Linked DNA regions of Callithrix jacchus. The protein of the gene in region 3 interacts with the protein of the main gene of each other region in a biochemical or structural test. Links are inferred from orthologs where the notes say so. Each region holds a gene or a part of one and is shown on either strand. Other genes may lie near its edges. The genes, in order: FASLG, KHDRBS1 and FYN.

Region 1 (4,127 bases), on a different chromosome or scaffold from region 3:
GGTGACCCAGAACACCTGTCCTTCATTCTCAGGGGTAGCTGCTACCCATGGCCTTGAGGGTGTCCGACATTCTGATGTTTCAAAAGAGAATAGAAATATTTTTTTAATGTGTATTTAAAAATATATAATATTTTTAGTATCAATATTTAAAGTGGTCAGTTGGGCTGGCTGAGTGCAGTTGCTCATGTCTGTAATCCCAGCACTTTGGGAGACTGAAGCGGGAGGATCTCTAGAAGTCAGGAGGCTGAGACCAGCCTGGGCACCATAGCAAGTCCCCATCTCTACAAAAAAATAGAATAAATTAGTCAGGTGTAGTGACCTATGCCTATAATCCCAGATACTTGGGAGTCGAGGCAAGAGGACTGCTTGAGCCCAGGATTTTGAGGCTGCAGTGAACTATGGTAGCACCACTGCACTCCAGGCTGGGTGGCAGAGTGAGACTCTGTCTCTCTTTAAATAAATAAATAAATAAAGTGGGCAACCAATGAAAAGAAAAACATGTGAAATACAAAGCAGCTCTGTGGGTTCCACTGGTTTGCAGCCTCTGAGCTAATTTCTAAAGTGGGTGTAGCAGGTTTTTACTCTGTAAATTATGGTGATTTGCTGGTCAGGGTAGATGATACTTGTGTGTGGGGAAGGGATGATGGCAACAGATGTTTTCCTTTTGCAAAAAGTAAAATGTGGGAGTGACTTCTTTGGCCATGACTTCATGGTCTTTCACCTCAGAGCCATTTGCAGTAAAATTTATGGATTTAAAAATATGATTCTGAACAATTTTTGTTAGAGTTATTTTGGGATTTTAAAATAGTTTTTTGGTTGTATGTATTGTAGAATTCTTAAAATTATATAATGATAATTTATAAAAATGCATACGATTATAATTCATAAAATTATATCTCCACTGGCCATTCTCCTGTAGCTGGGAGAAGTTGACACCAACAGGGCTACATCCCAGTGCTGACCTGCTCTGCAGGACCCAAGGAAGGGGAGCACAGCCTACCAGCCTTTTTGGGTAGCCCAGCGACAGCACCTAGGGCTTCAAAGGCCTTCATAAGAAAATTGTGGGCGGAAACTTCCAAGGGGTTTGCTCTGAGCTTCTTGAGACTTCTCAGTTTCAGATGCAAAGTGAGTGGGCGTTTCTCTGAGAAGCAGAATGAGAGAGAGGTGTTTCCCTTAGCTATGGAAACTCTATAAGAGAGATCTAGCTTCCTTTCTCTTGAGCAGTCAGCAACAGGAGTCCTGTCCTTGACGCCTCAGCCTCTACAGGATTAGGAAGAAATAAGACCATTTGCTGGGGCTGGCTGGAGTCACCGGCTGCCATGCAGCAGCCCTTCAATTACCCATATCCCCAGATCTACTGGGTGGACAGCAGTGCCAGCTCTCCCTGGGCCCCTCCAGGCACAGTGCTTCCCTGTCCAACCTCTGTGCCCAGAAGGCCTGGCCAAAGGAGACCACCGCCGCCGCCACCACCGCCGCCACTACCACCTCCACCACCGCCACCATTGCCTCCATTACCACTGCCACCCCTGAAGAAGGGAGGGACCCACAGCACAGGCCTGTGTCTCCTTGTGATGTTTTTCATGGTTCTGGTTGCCTTGGTAGGATTGGGACTGGGGATGTTTCAGCTCTTCCACCTTCAGAAGGAGCTGGCAGAACTCCGAGAGGTAAGCCTGCTGGTGGACTGCCGTGCCCTGGAGGCACCTGGCATAAGGGGGTGCAGGGCCCACTGCCTGGCTTGCCAAGTGCTTTTCAGTTCTTTTTTTTTTCCTTAGAAATGGGTTGTTCTAGTTATTCTATTCTATAGGCAGAGAAATGGAGGTTCACATGAGTGAGGGGAATATTTTTTGTTTCGTAAAGCATCAGAGCCCAACAGTTTTCTTTTCCTCATGTGTCAACTCAGTCTGTTGAACCACTTCCTGCCTCATACCTAGTGATTCAAGGAGTAACAAACAAACCAAACTTTTAAGTTTTGCTTGGAAGTAAATTTGTTCAGATGACCAAACTGAATCTTGAAAGTACTTAAAATATTGATATGATTCCAAATCACAAAACTGGGGGACAGTGAGGCAAAATTGCTTGGACAAAGCCTGAGTTAACAAAAGTTCTGAGGTATTTGGATTCTTTTTCCAGGGCTTGGTTTATTTGACAATTCTGCCTCTTTTGCTTAAAGAGTTTTATTTTTTTTATACATCTTTTCTCTTTCTCTTTTACTAGTCTGCCAGCCAGAGGCATGCAGTATCGTCTGTGGAGAAGCAAATAGGTGAGTCCTTTTTTTGTGGGTACAATGAGTTCCCAAAGATGATCCTCAGCACTGAACTATGTTAATGGAATGCCTTATATTCTGTCCTACACTTTGGCTTATGTATGCTATGAGAGGAGTTCTGGCTGATTCTGAATTTCTGGTCAATATGATTCCTCGAGCTGCTTTAAAAATGTGAAGTCAATTGAATTGCTCACAATCAGTATAGCTGAGCACAGCACACAATTCAAAATCACTTTCACTTGACTTTGGAGACACACATACACAACTTGGACCTTTGCCCCCTGAGGAAGGTCTGTCGCATTCCACAGGCATCTTGGTTGTGGCACACATGCCAGTGGCTTTGACTCCTGGGAAGAGAAGGCGAGGTGAAGGCAGAGATAGATGTTTCTCAGAAACGTCCTCTCCTCTTTTAAACTCTCTAAAGAGATTACAGTGAAGCTTAATTTATAAACTATTTTATAGGATGTATGCTTTTAATGAGGATAATCAATTGCCCACAATAGGATGGTTTTTCTTGAAGTCACTGAGTAGCTTAGGGGAAGACTTCAGCCATCATTCAAAGGACATTCAGCTTCACCCACAGAGACGGTCATGAGGTACCCTTGATCACAAAGGAAAACCCTTTGTATGGGAGCTAGGACAAGAAGATGACATGTTGAACACTGATCTCATGAAATGTCAGGGCATAGTTTTGCAAGCTCTGTACAGATAGATTTTACGGCACACTTCACTAGTCTAAGGTTCACTGAAATTTCAGATTTAGATTTACAATGCGATTCATTGAATTTTTAGAGTTGGAAGGAAGCTTAGAATATATCTAGTCCAGTCATTCTGTCTTTTGGAAGAGAAACAAAATACCAGACAGATTAGGTGAACACGCCCAAGAACACTGGTCTGGAACTGGGGCTGGAAGGAACACGGGCTCTTGATGCCTTGTCACCTACAGGGCTTTCCAGCACATGGACTGGTGCCTCATCAAGTAGGGAAACTCCTGACTGTAGTGACCATGGAATGAGAAATAGATGAAAAGCAGAATACCTCTGCAAAGAGAATAGGTAAATCTCATCCTTAGAAACTCAGAAGCAAGCAGAAGGCAGCACTGGCCAAGAAGTGGAGCAAGTTCCCATTTCTCTGGATGTGGCTACTGCAGGCAACCCAGTCGCCTGTCTGCTATCCCAGATTGTTAGGTTCTTGTAGGAGCCACTGTTGGATGCTCTGGCTCCTGTGTCTGTGTCCTAATCCTTATATGTTAGAACTTCCACATGTACACAAGCAGAGTGGAAATATTTGTTAAAAAAATAAAGCCTCTGGAGGATGTCTTAAATAAGATCATTTTGAAAATCTGTGGAATGTGCCTGGTCTGATAGGTACCTAATTATTCATATTTCACCCACTCTTGAGTCAGTTTAGTGATTAAAAGTCAAATGATCAGATGAGTCAGGTCTATCTGCCTGGTAAGCAATTATCTTCTCTAGATGGACCAGAAATTGGTAAATTATCACATGGCTAATAAGAAAAGAGATTCAAATTAATATAATGCAAATTAAAAATAGGAAATATCAAGTTTTCATCAAATTGGTAAAAATTAAAAAAAAGCACAAATTGACAAAGATTTGAGAGAAAAGAGCCTGTTCAAACATTTGTTTCAGCCAGTGTACATGTAAATTGCTATAGCTTTCTCTGAAGAGCACTTTGGATATACAATCAAAAGCTTGGAACTAATAGTTTACGTTGTAATCCCATAGCTAAGAATTTATCTTAAGAAAATAATCAGAGATGTGCCTGTGCCTGAAGATTTACATATAAGGATATTCATTACTTCCTTATGAGCCTATTTATAATAAACAATTCAGAAGAAACTTGA
Region 2 (3,651 bases), on a different chromosome or scaffold from region 3:
CACTTACTTGTACATTCTGCCCCACCACAGAAATAAAGACATACCATAAGCTTCATAAGAATCTTGAACCTCCCCATGTCCATAGTCATAATATTCTGAGTCCCTGAAAGCCAAAGACAAGAATGTTAGGAAGCTACAGAGGAACTATGTTTTAGTTTCACCTTTTTCTCAAATACTTTCATATTTCAGTTATTTTACTATGTATATTTATACAGGAAAATACTCATTCTAACCCATCCCTAGATGCCAAAATATTTCCAAAATACGTATATACGTACTTATAAAATAATTATGACATCTATAGCAAAGAAAAATGGATATCACAGAATATAAAGTGAAAAAGCACAATTCTAAATTAACCCTCTTAATATAGCATACATATATATGTATTCATAGGGCTCACCAGAAGAAAAAAATAACTTGTTTTATTACTACCACAGAATTGAGACTCTTTTCAATCAATTCACAGGTAAGCTATATATATGGACACACAAGAATATGGTCTTAAAGAGAAATACGGAAGTGGAGAAGGGCAGGGAAGAGAAATACAGAAAAGAACCTAGGTTATGGTAATGGAATTCAAATTTTATGTAACTTCAATGTGGTTTTGATATTTTAAAATGATAAATCAAAATAATGTAAAGGCATTTCTCCTTGTTTCCATGTCACAGGTCGGAAATTTTTCATCTGCTACTCTCAGGTTCTGTATTATAATTTAAGGTTTAGAGTTATACAAATTTATTTTGAAGCACATCTGTGTGCTTCAAAGATGACAAAAGCAGAGGAAAGCCTTGCATGGTGGCATGTGCCTGTAATACCAACTATTAGAGAGGGCCAAAGTGGCAGGATTGCTTGAGCTCAAGATCAAGACCAGTCGGGTTTGGGTGGGGAGTACAAAGGCGATACCCTCAAAATGTGAACCATTCTGCTCCTTAGGGTTGTGCTGTCTAAATCTCTGTTCCTCCAACTCCCTCTCTCCAACCTTAGGACACAAAACCAGTGCTTATATTGCCTGACTCACCCTTGACTCTGGCTGTAATAGCCTTCATAGCCTTCGTAACTTTGTTCTGCATACGTATCATCGTATCCCTAAAACAGAAAAATAAATACATAAAAGATCAAAATCATAGAGAGTAGGAAAAGTAATTATATCTCATGAAAGTAGGTAGGCTTCTGGATTAAAAAAGGACATGACATTTCCCTCCAAAATGTTAATGCCTACTGTAGAATAGTTAAAAGAGAAAGGGTTACTAAACAAAGAAAACCCAAACAAATATATGCCACAGAACACGTGTGGGTAGGAAAAATTACAAAAATCAAGCTTTAGTATTATCAGTATTAGTAGTTAAGAAATTCGTTATAAAACACTACATTAAGGTATATTTTATTTCCTGTTTAATCTACAGACTTACAGAAAATCAAGCCTAAAATGGAAAAGCCTTCTAATAGTTCAACATTCACTGCAAGAGAAGAGGTCAGCTTCCAAATCTTACAAGTAGTCCATGACACCTACATAAAGGACTGAGGCCCTGTCATTTGATTTCATTTGGCAACCTTCTAGGTATTGGAAAATGGCACACTGTTCAAATTTCTTACATATTCTTCATATGTTTCTGGTGCAGGAGGTGGAGGCAAAGGTATCCTCTGGATGCCCGCTGTCCGTGCTCTTGGTGCTGGAGCACCCCTCACAGTAGGTGGGGGTGGCACGCCTCGAGTCACAGTGGCACCTCTGGTAATGGCTCCCCTTACTGGTGTACCACGTACCAAAGCCCCACGAGGTGGTCCAACACCACGGCCCCTACAAAATGAAAGTTTACTTTAAATGGAGCTTTTCATAAACAGACCACTTTTATGTTCTGATTTGTTTTCAAATTCTGGAGTTAGGCAGATTTTATGAAGCCTTAACTAGGCTATTATTAAAGCACAGAGGAATGCACAGGACAAAGAACCCATACTCAAAGACTCCCCGGGTCCTACAGTGGACCAATTCATCACTGCACTGCCTTAGGTAGGTCGGGAGAGTCTGAACACTCCATAAAGGTCAGTCACAAAAGGTAGAACTTTAAAGTTAGACCACTAAAAAATACTAGGACTGGCTGGGCGCAGTGGCTAACACCTGTAATCCCAGAACTTTGGGAAGCCAAGGTGGGTGGATCAACTGAGGTCAGGAGTTCAAGACCAGACTGATCAACAAGGAGAAATCCCATCTCTACTAAAAATATAAAATTAGCCGGGCATGGTGGTACATGCCTGTGATCCCAGCTACTTGGAAGGCTGAGGCAGGAGAATTGCTTAAACCTGGGAGGCAGAGTTTGCAGTGAATCAAGATCACACCATTGCACTCCAGCCTGGGCACCAAGAGCAAAATTCCATCTCAAAAAAATGCTAGACCTGTCCAAAATTAGAAAACCAAAAGTCGGTTGGGTGTGGTGGCTCAAGCCTGTAATCCCAGCACTTTGGGAGGCTGAGGCGGGTGGATCACAAGGTCAAGAGATCGAGACCATCCTGGTCAACATGGTGAAACCCCATCTCTACTAAAAATACAAAAAACTAGCTGGGTATGGTGGCGTGTGCCTGTAATCCCAGCTACTCGGGAGGCTGAGGCAGGAGAATTGCCTGAACCCAGGAGGCGGAGGTTGCGGCGAGCCGAGATCGCGCCATTGTACTCCAGCCTGGGTAACAAGAGCGAAACTCCATCTCAAAAAAAAAAAAGAAAACCAAAAGTCTCAGTTAGACTATAGCACTTGGTTATGGTCAAAGTGCCCAAGACCAAGAATTTATATATATATATATATATATATATATGTTTTTAGACTTAGTCTTACTCTGCCGCCAGGCTGGGGTGCAGTGGCGCGATCTCAGCTCACTGCAACCTCTGCCTCCCGGGTTCAAGTGATTCTCTTGCCTCAGCCTCCCGAGTAGCTGGGACTAGAGGCACAAGCCACCATGCCCAGCTAATTTTTATATTTTTTTTTAGTGGAGACAGGGTTTCACCACGTTGGCCAGGATGGTCTCGATGTCTTGATCTTGTGATCTGCCTGCCTCAGCTTCCCAAAGTGCTGGAATTACAGGTATGAAACCACCGAACCTGGCCAAGAATTCTTTTTTTTTTTTTTTTTTTTTTTTTTTGTGGAAATGGAAATGGAATCTTGCTTTGTCACCCAGGATGGAGTGCAGCCGCATGATCTCAGCTCACTGCAACCTCCGTCTCCTGGGTCCAAGCAATTCTCCTGCTTCAGCCTCCCAAGAAGCTGGGATTATAGGTGTGTGCCAACACATGGGGCTAAGTTTTGTATTTTTAGTAAAGATAGGGTTTTGCCACATTGGCCAGGCTGGTCTTGAACTCCTGATCTCAGGTGATCCACCCACCTCAGCCTCCCAAAGTGCTGGGATTATAGGCATGAGCCACCACACCTGGCTGGAGAATTCTATTCTTGATGCAACATATAAATCCTGAGACCCTTTCTATGCTAGACATAAGAGCACCACCAAAAGAGATGATACTAGTAATCAAATTTATACCCTATTTCTGGGTGTCTCCATTATTTTTACCTGGGAACAGGTGGTGGAGGAGGTGCAGCTCCCCGGCCTCTCACTGGCACCCCACGTCCACGAGAGGGTTCAGGTACTCCATTTAAGTAGGACAGCTCT
Region 3 (3,651 bases):
GAGACAGAGTCTCGCTCTGTACCACTGCTCTGGAGTGCAGTGGTACAATAATCTTGGCTCACTGCAACCTCTGCCTCCTGGGTTCTAGCAGTTTTCTACCTCAGCCTCCTGAATAGCTGGGATTACAGGCACTCGCCACCACACCCAGCTAATTTTTGTATTTTTAGTAGAGACGAGGTTTCACCATCTTGGCCAGGCTGGTCTTGAACTCCTGACCTCGTGATCCACTCGCCTCAGCCTCCCAGGTGCTGACTCTTAAAGAGCAAAGATCACTTATAAATTGTCAAATTTCCCATGTATGCTTAGTGGGCAGATATTTTATGAAGTTTAAATGAACTTTTCTTTAAGCCACTTGGTTTTCCATAATTTATATTTTTGTAGGTTACATGTTGTAATTATATGAACCATGTCTTTAACAGGATAATAAGAACTCCTCCAATTTACAGAATTCTTTTTTTTTTTTTTTTTTTAGACAGAGTTTCACTCTTGTTACCCAGGCTGGAGTGCAGTGGCGCAATCTCAGCTCACTGCAACCTCCGCCTCCTGGGTTCAGGCAATTCTCCTGCTTCAGCCTCCCGAGTAGCTGGGGTTACAGGCATGCGCCACCACACCCAGCTAATTTTTTTGTATTTTTAGTAGAGACGGGGTTTCACCATGTTGACCAGGATGGTCTCAATCTCTTGACCTCGTGATCCCCCCACTTCAGCCTCCCAAAAGTCAGTTACATTAAGTATAAAAATCTTAATTTAAACCAGTCTTCTTTTTCAAATAGAAAATAATCTAAATTAGCAGATTTTTCCCCTTTATAAAGTTATTCTTCAGCTTCATAGGTCTAATAATGGGATATACATAGAACCTAGGTTTGGTTTTTATTTTTGTTTTTTTTAATGCTGGGACTGAAAGAGACCCTGAAAAGATAATCCAATTCTATTTTCTATTCCTATATTTTACAGATGAGGTAACTGATGACAATCATAAACCAGGCCTTGCCTTCAGATTTGCTAGATTGTTTTTTTAACATGCAAAGCATAAATATTTCTATTCTGTCTTAGCTGCTTTTAATTTCCCCTGTCTACCTACCTGACAGAAACCATTGTTCTTGTGGCTGGCCATAGTAAAGCTGAGGAATTTGCCTTACCTGGTTGAAGTATTGGCAAGTGGACTGTGAGCTCCTTGCCAGTGCTTGTCAGCATGCTTGGCACACCTGTGCAAGGACTCAGTCACGTAACTCGTCCATTGTAAATGTTAAAAGTCTAGAGGTGATTTTCAGACATCCTCATGTGTTGCCCTATTTTTAAATGGCACACCCCATAAACTTAAATAATCTAATTTCTTCCTTGCTCACTGTACTCCCTAAGGGAGTATCCCTAAGCTATTAGATAGCCAGGCCTGTTCCAATCCCTGGACTTTCATCACTGTGAACACCAGTCCAGAGCTTTTGGTATAAATGTGTAATCATATGACCGAGCCAAAAAGAAACTGGTATATATCAAAATTTTTAAAAAATTAATGAATTATACATCTTAATATAGCCATCTTAGCCATAGCCACAAATAAACACATTTTTTTCTGTTAAAATACTTGACAGAGTCCTTGCAATTGAACGTCTTTGTTCAACAAAAACTATAGTAAGTGTTTTAAACTTAAAATCTAACTTTATGCAAATAGCTGTTGGTCAAAAACTTTTCTTTCCATCAAAAGAGGATCTTTGGTTTGACTTCATTATTATGGGATGTTTGTAGGTACCTGGAATGGAAACACAAAAGTAGCCATAAAGACTCTTAAACCAGGCACAATGTCCCCTGAATCATTCCTCGAGGAAGCACAGATCATGAAGAAGCTGAAGCATGACAAGCTGGTCCAGCTCTATGCAGTGGTGTCCGAGGAACCAATCTATATCGTCACCGAGTATATGAATAAAGGTTGGGCAACACCTCTCCCGTCTCTAGCTCACAGTGCCTTAACGGGTTGTTTGCGGGGAGAAATAGAGGCTTCCTGCTTGCTTTTTTTCCAGTTTCTGCCTGGGTCAAGTATTCCCATCAGGAAGCACCAGTTATGTGTTCATGAATGAAAACATTTTTAAAACAGGCTAACCTTGAGTTTGCCTCACCCCAAATCCTTGAAAAATGCTGAGTACCTTTTGCATGTTATGTGTATCAAAAATTCAAGCTCCTCTCCCTAATTAAAACATTCATTTTTAATATTGGGGTGGTACAGAGGGTTATAATAGTTTGCTGTTATTTTGAACACAGTAGCTTTTGTTACATTTCCTTTTTGCAAGACTAAACAGTTAATATCAGACACTGGTCTCTAAGCTAAGTTTAGTCTCCATCATTTCAACATCTTATTTTTTTCCAACTCTCTCCTTAAACATCAGATGATGAAATTACACACTTTCAGAGACCACATTTATTCTCACATTCTCTCCCCCACAACCCCTCTGTCTTTCTAATCAAACCAACATTGTTGGGGATAAGGCCAAAGATCATTTTGTTTTGGAAAAGTAGATGAAACAAACAAGAAACAGCCTTAAAAGGCAATACATTGTACATCAGAGGATACCAGTGTAATTTTTCTTTTCCATGTACTTTCTTTTAAAATATAATTGGAATTTTTTTTCTGGCAAACTATTTGTCCTTTGTATCCAGGGTTATTTTGTAAATAACTTTGTGATTAAAGCATAAAGTATCACTGATGACCATCATAAGCCTCTGGCTTCTGCAAATGATTATCCCTGCCTTGGTGTTAGTTCTCAGCCTCCTTAGGCTGTATTATAATAGTGGCTCTGAAGCTTCCAATGTTTTCTTTCAGATGTCTGATTTAAGGCTTGGCTGGCTATGATCTAATTAAGGGGAACTATCTGCCCCACCCATATTCTTCAGATTGTCTCTTCTTGATTCAAAATCTGTAAATAAGCTAAGCCAGTGAATCTCAAACTTTACCTTGTGTTATTAGAGTCATCTGTAGGGCTTCTTAAAACACAAGGTTCTGGACCCAACCTTCATAGTTTCTGATTTACTCAATCTGGGATAGGACCTGAGAATTTGCATGTCTTAAAGTTCCCTGGTGCTGTTACAGCTGCTGGTCCCAAGACCTCAATTTTGGACCACTCAGCTGGCCTATATTTTCCCCACATCAATTCTCTGTGCAGGGCTGGTTGAGGAATGGAATTGAAGAGGTGCAGTTCTTAACAGGTTCCTCTTTATGACCTAAAGGGATATTGATTCCCATTTCTTCTAGTTTTATCAAATATATGTTGTTATCCCTAGAAATGAAATGAATGCTGTTTGTTTTTAAAAGGTAAAACTGTGGCTTCTCCATGCATATACTTTTCTCTACTCTGCTCTTTTATATAAACCTTATTTTTCCATGGATGGCATTATTCCATTTGATGACCTTATTACTTTTAATTAAGAAAACCAAATACAGTCCTCTGTTGAGAATTATCTTTCAAAGTAGATTGAAATGATTTTATGTTTTGTTCATAGGAAGTCTACTCGATTTCTTAAAAGATGGAGAAGGAAGAGCTCTGAAATTACCAAATCTTGTGGACATGGCAGCACAGGTAGGCCCTGCGGGGTACCTTGATGTGCTGTAGATTTAATGACATGTAAATACATTGGGTCACGGTGTAACTAACATGTCCCGTTC

Evidence for each region.
Region 1: the proteins of FYN (region 3) and FASLG form a complex in vitro, tested with the Homo sapiens proteins (4 studies listed by BioGRID and IntAct, with this or other methods). The link is inferred for Callithrix jacchus from reciprocal best matches to the Homo sapiens genes FYN and FASLG.
Region 2: the proteins of FYN (region 3) and KHDRBS1 form a complex in vitro, tested with the Homo sapiens proteins (4 studies listed by BioGRID and IntAct, with this or other methods). The link is inferred for Callithrix jacchus from reciprocal best matches to the Homo sapiens genes FYN and KHDRBS1.

Annotation. Positions count from the first base shown.
Region 1 is NC_133519.1:30,108,571-30,112,697, reverse strand, and holds the start of FASLG (tumor necrosis factor ligand superfamily member 6), read left to right. Parts: upstream 1-1,218; 5' UTR 1,219-1,319; coding exon 1,320-1,664; intron 1,665-2,214; coding exon 2,215-2,260; intron 2,261-4,127. UniProt on the Homo sapiens protein: Cytokine that binds to TNFRSF6/FAS, a receptor that transduces the apoptotic signal into cells. Involved in cytotoxic T-cell-mediated apoptosis, natural killer cell-mediated apoptosis and in T-cell development.
Region 2 is NC_133508.1:68,648,831-68,652,481, reverse strand, and holds part of KHDRBS1 (KH domain-containing, RNA-binding, signal transduction-associated protein 1), read right to left. Parts: coding exon 3,553-3,651; intron 1,799-3,552; coding exon 1,597-1,798; intron 1,090-1,596; coding exon 1,022-1,089; intron 104-1,021; coding exon 45-103; intron 1-44. UniProt on the Homo sapiens protein: Recruited and tyrosine phosphorylated by several receptor systems, for example the T-cell, leptin and insulin receptors. Once phosphorylated, functions as an adapter protein in signal transduction cascades by binding to SH2 and SH3 domain-containing proteins.
Region 3 is NC_133505.1:117,948,368-117,952,018, reverse strand, and holds part of FYN (tyrosine-protein kinase Fyn), read left to right. Parts: intron 1-1,742; coding exon 1,743-1,922; intron 1,923-3,488; coding exon 3,489-3,565; intron 3,566-3,651. UniProt on the Homo sapiens protein: Non-receptor tyrosine-protein kinase that plays a role in many biological processes including regulation of cell growth and survival, cell adhesion, integrin-mediated signaling, cytoskeletal remodeling, cell motility, immune response and axon guidance.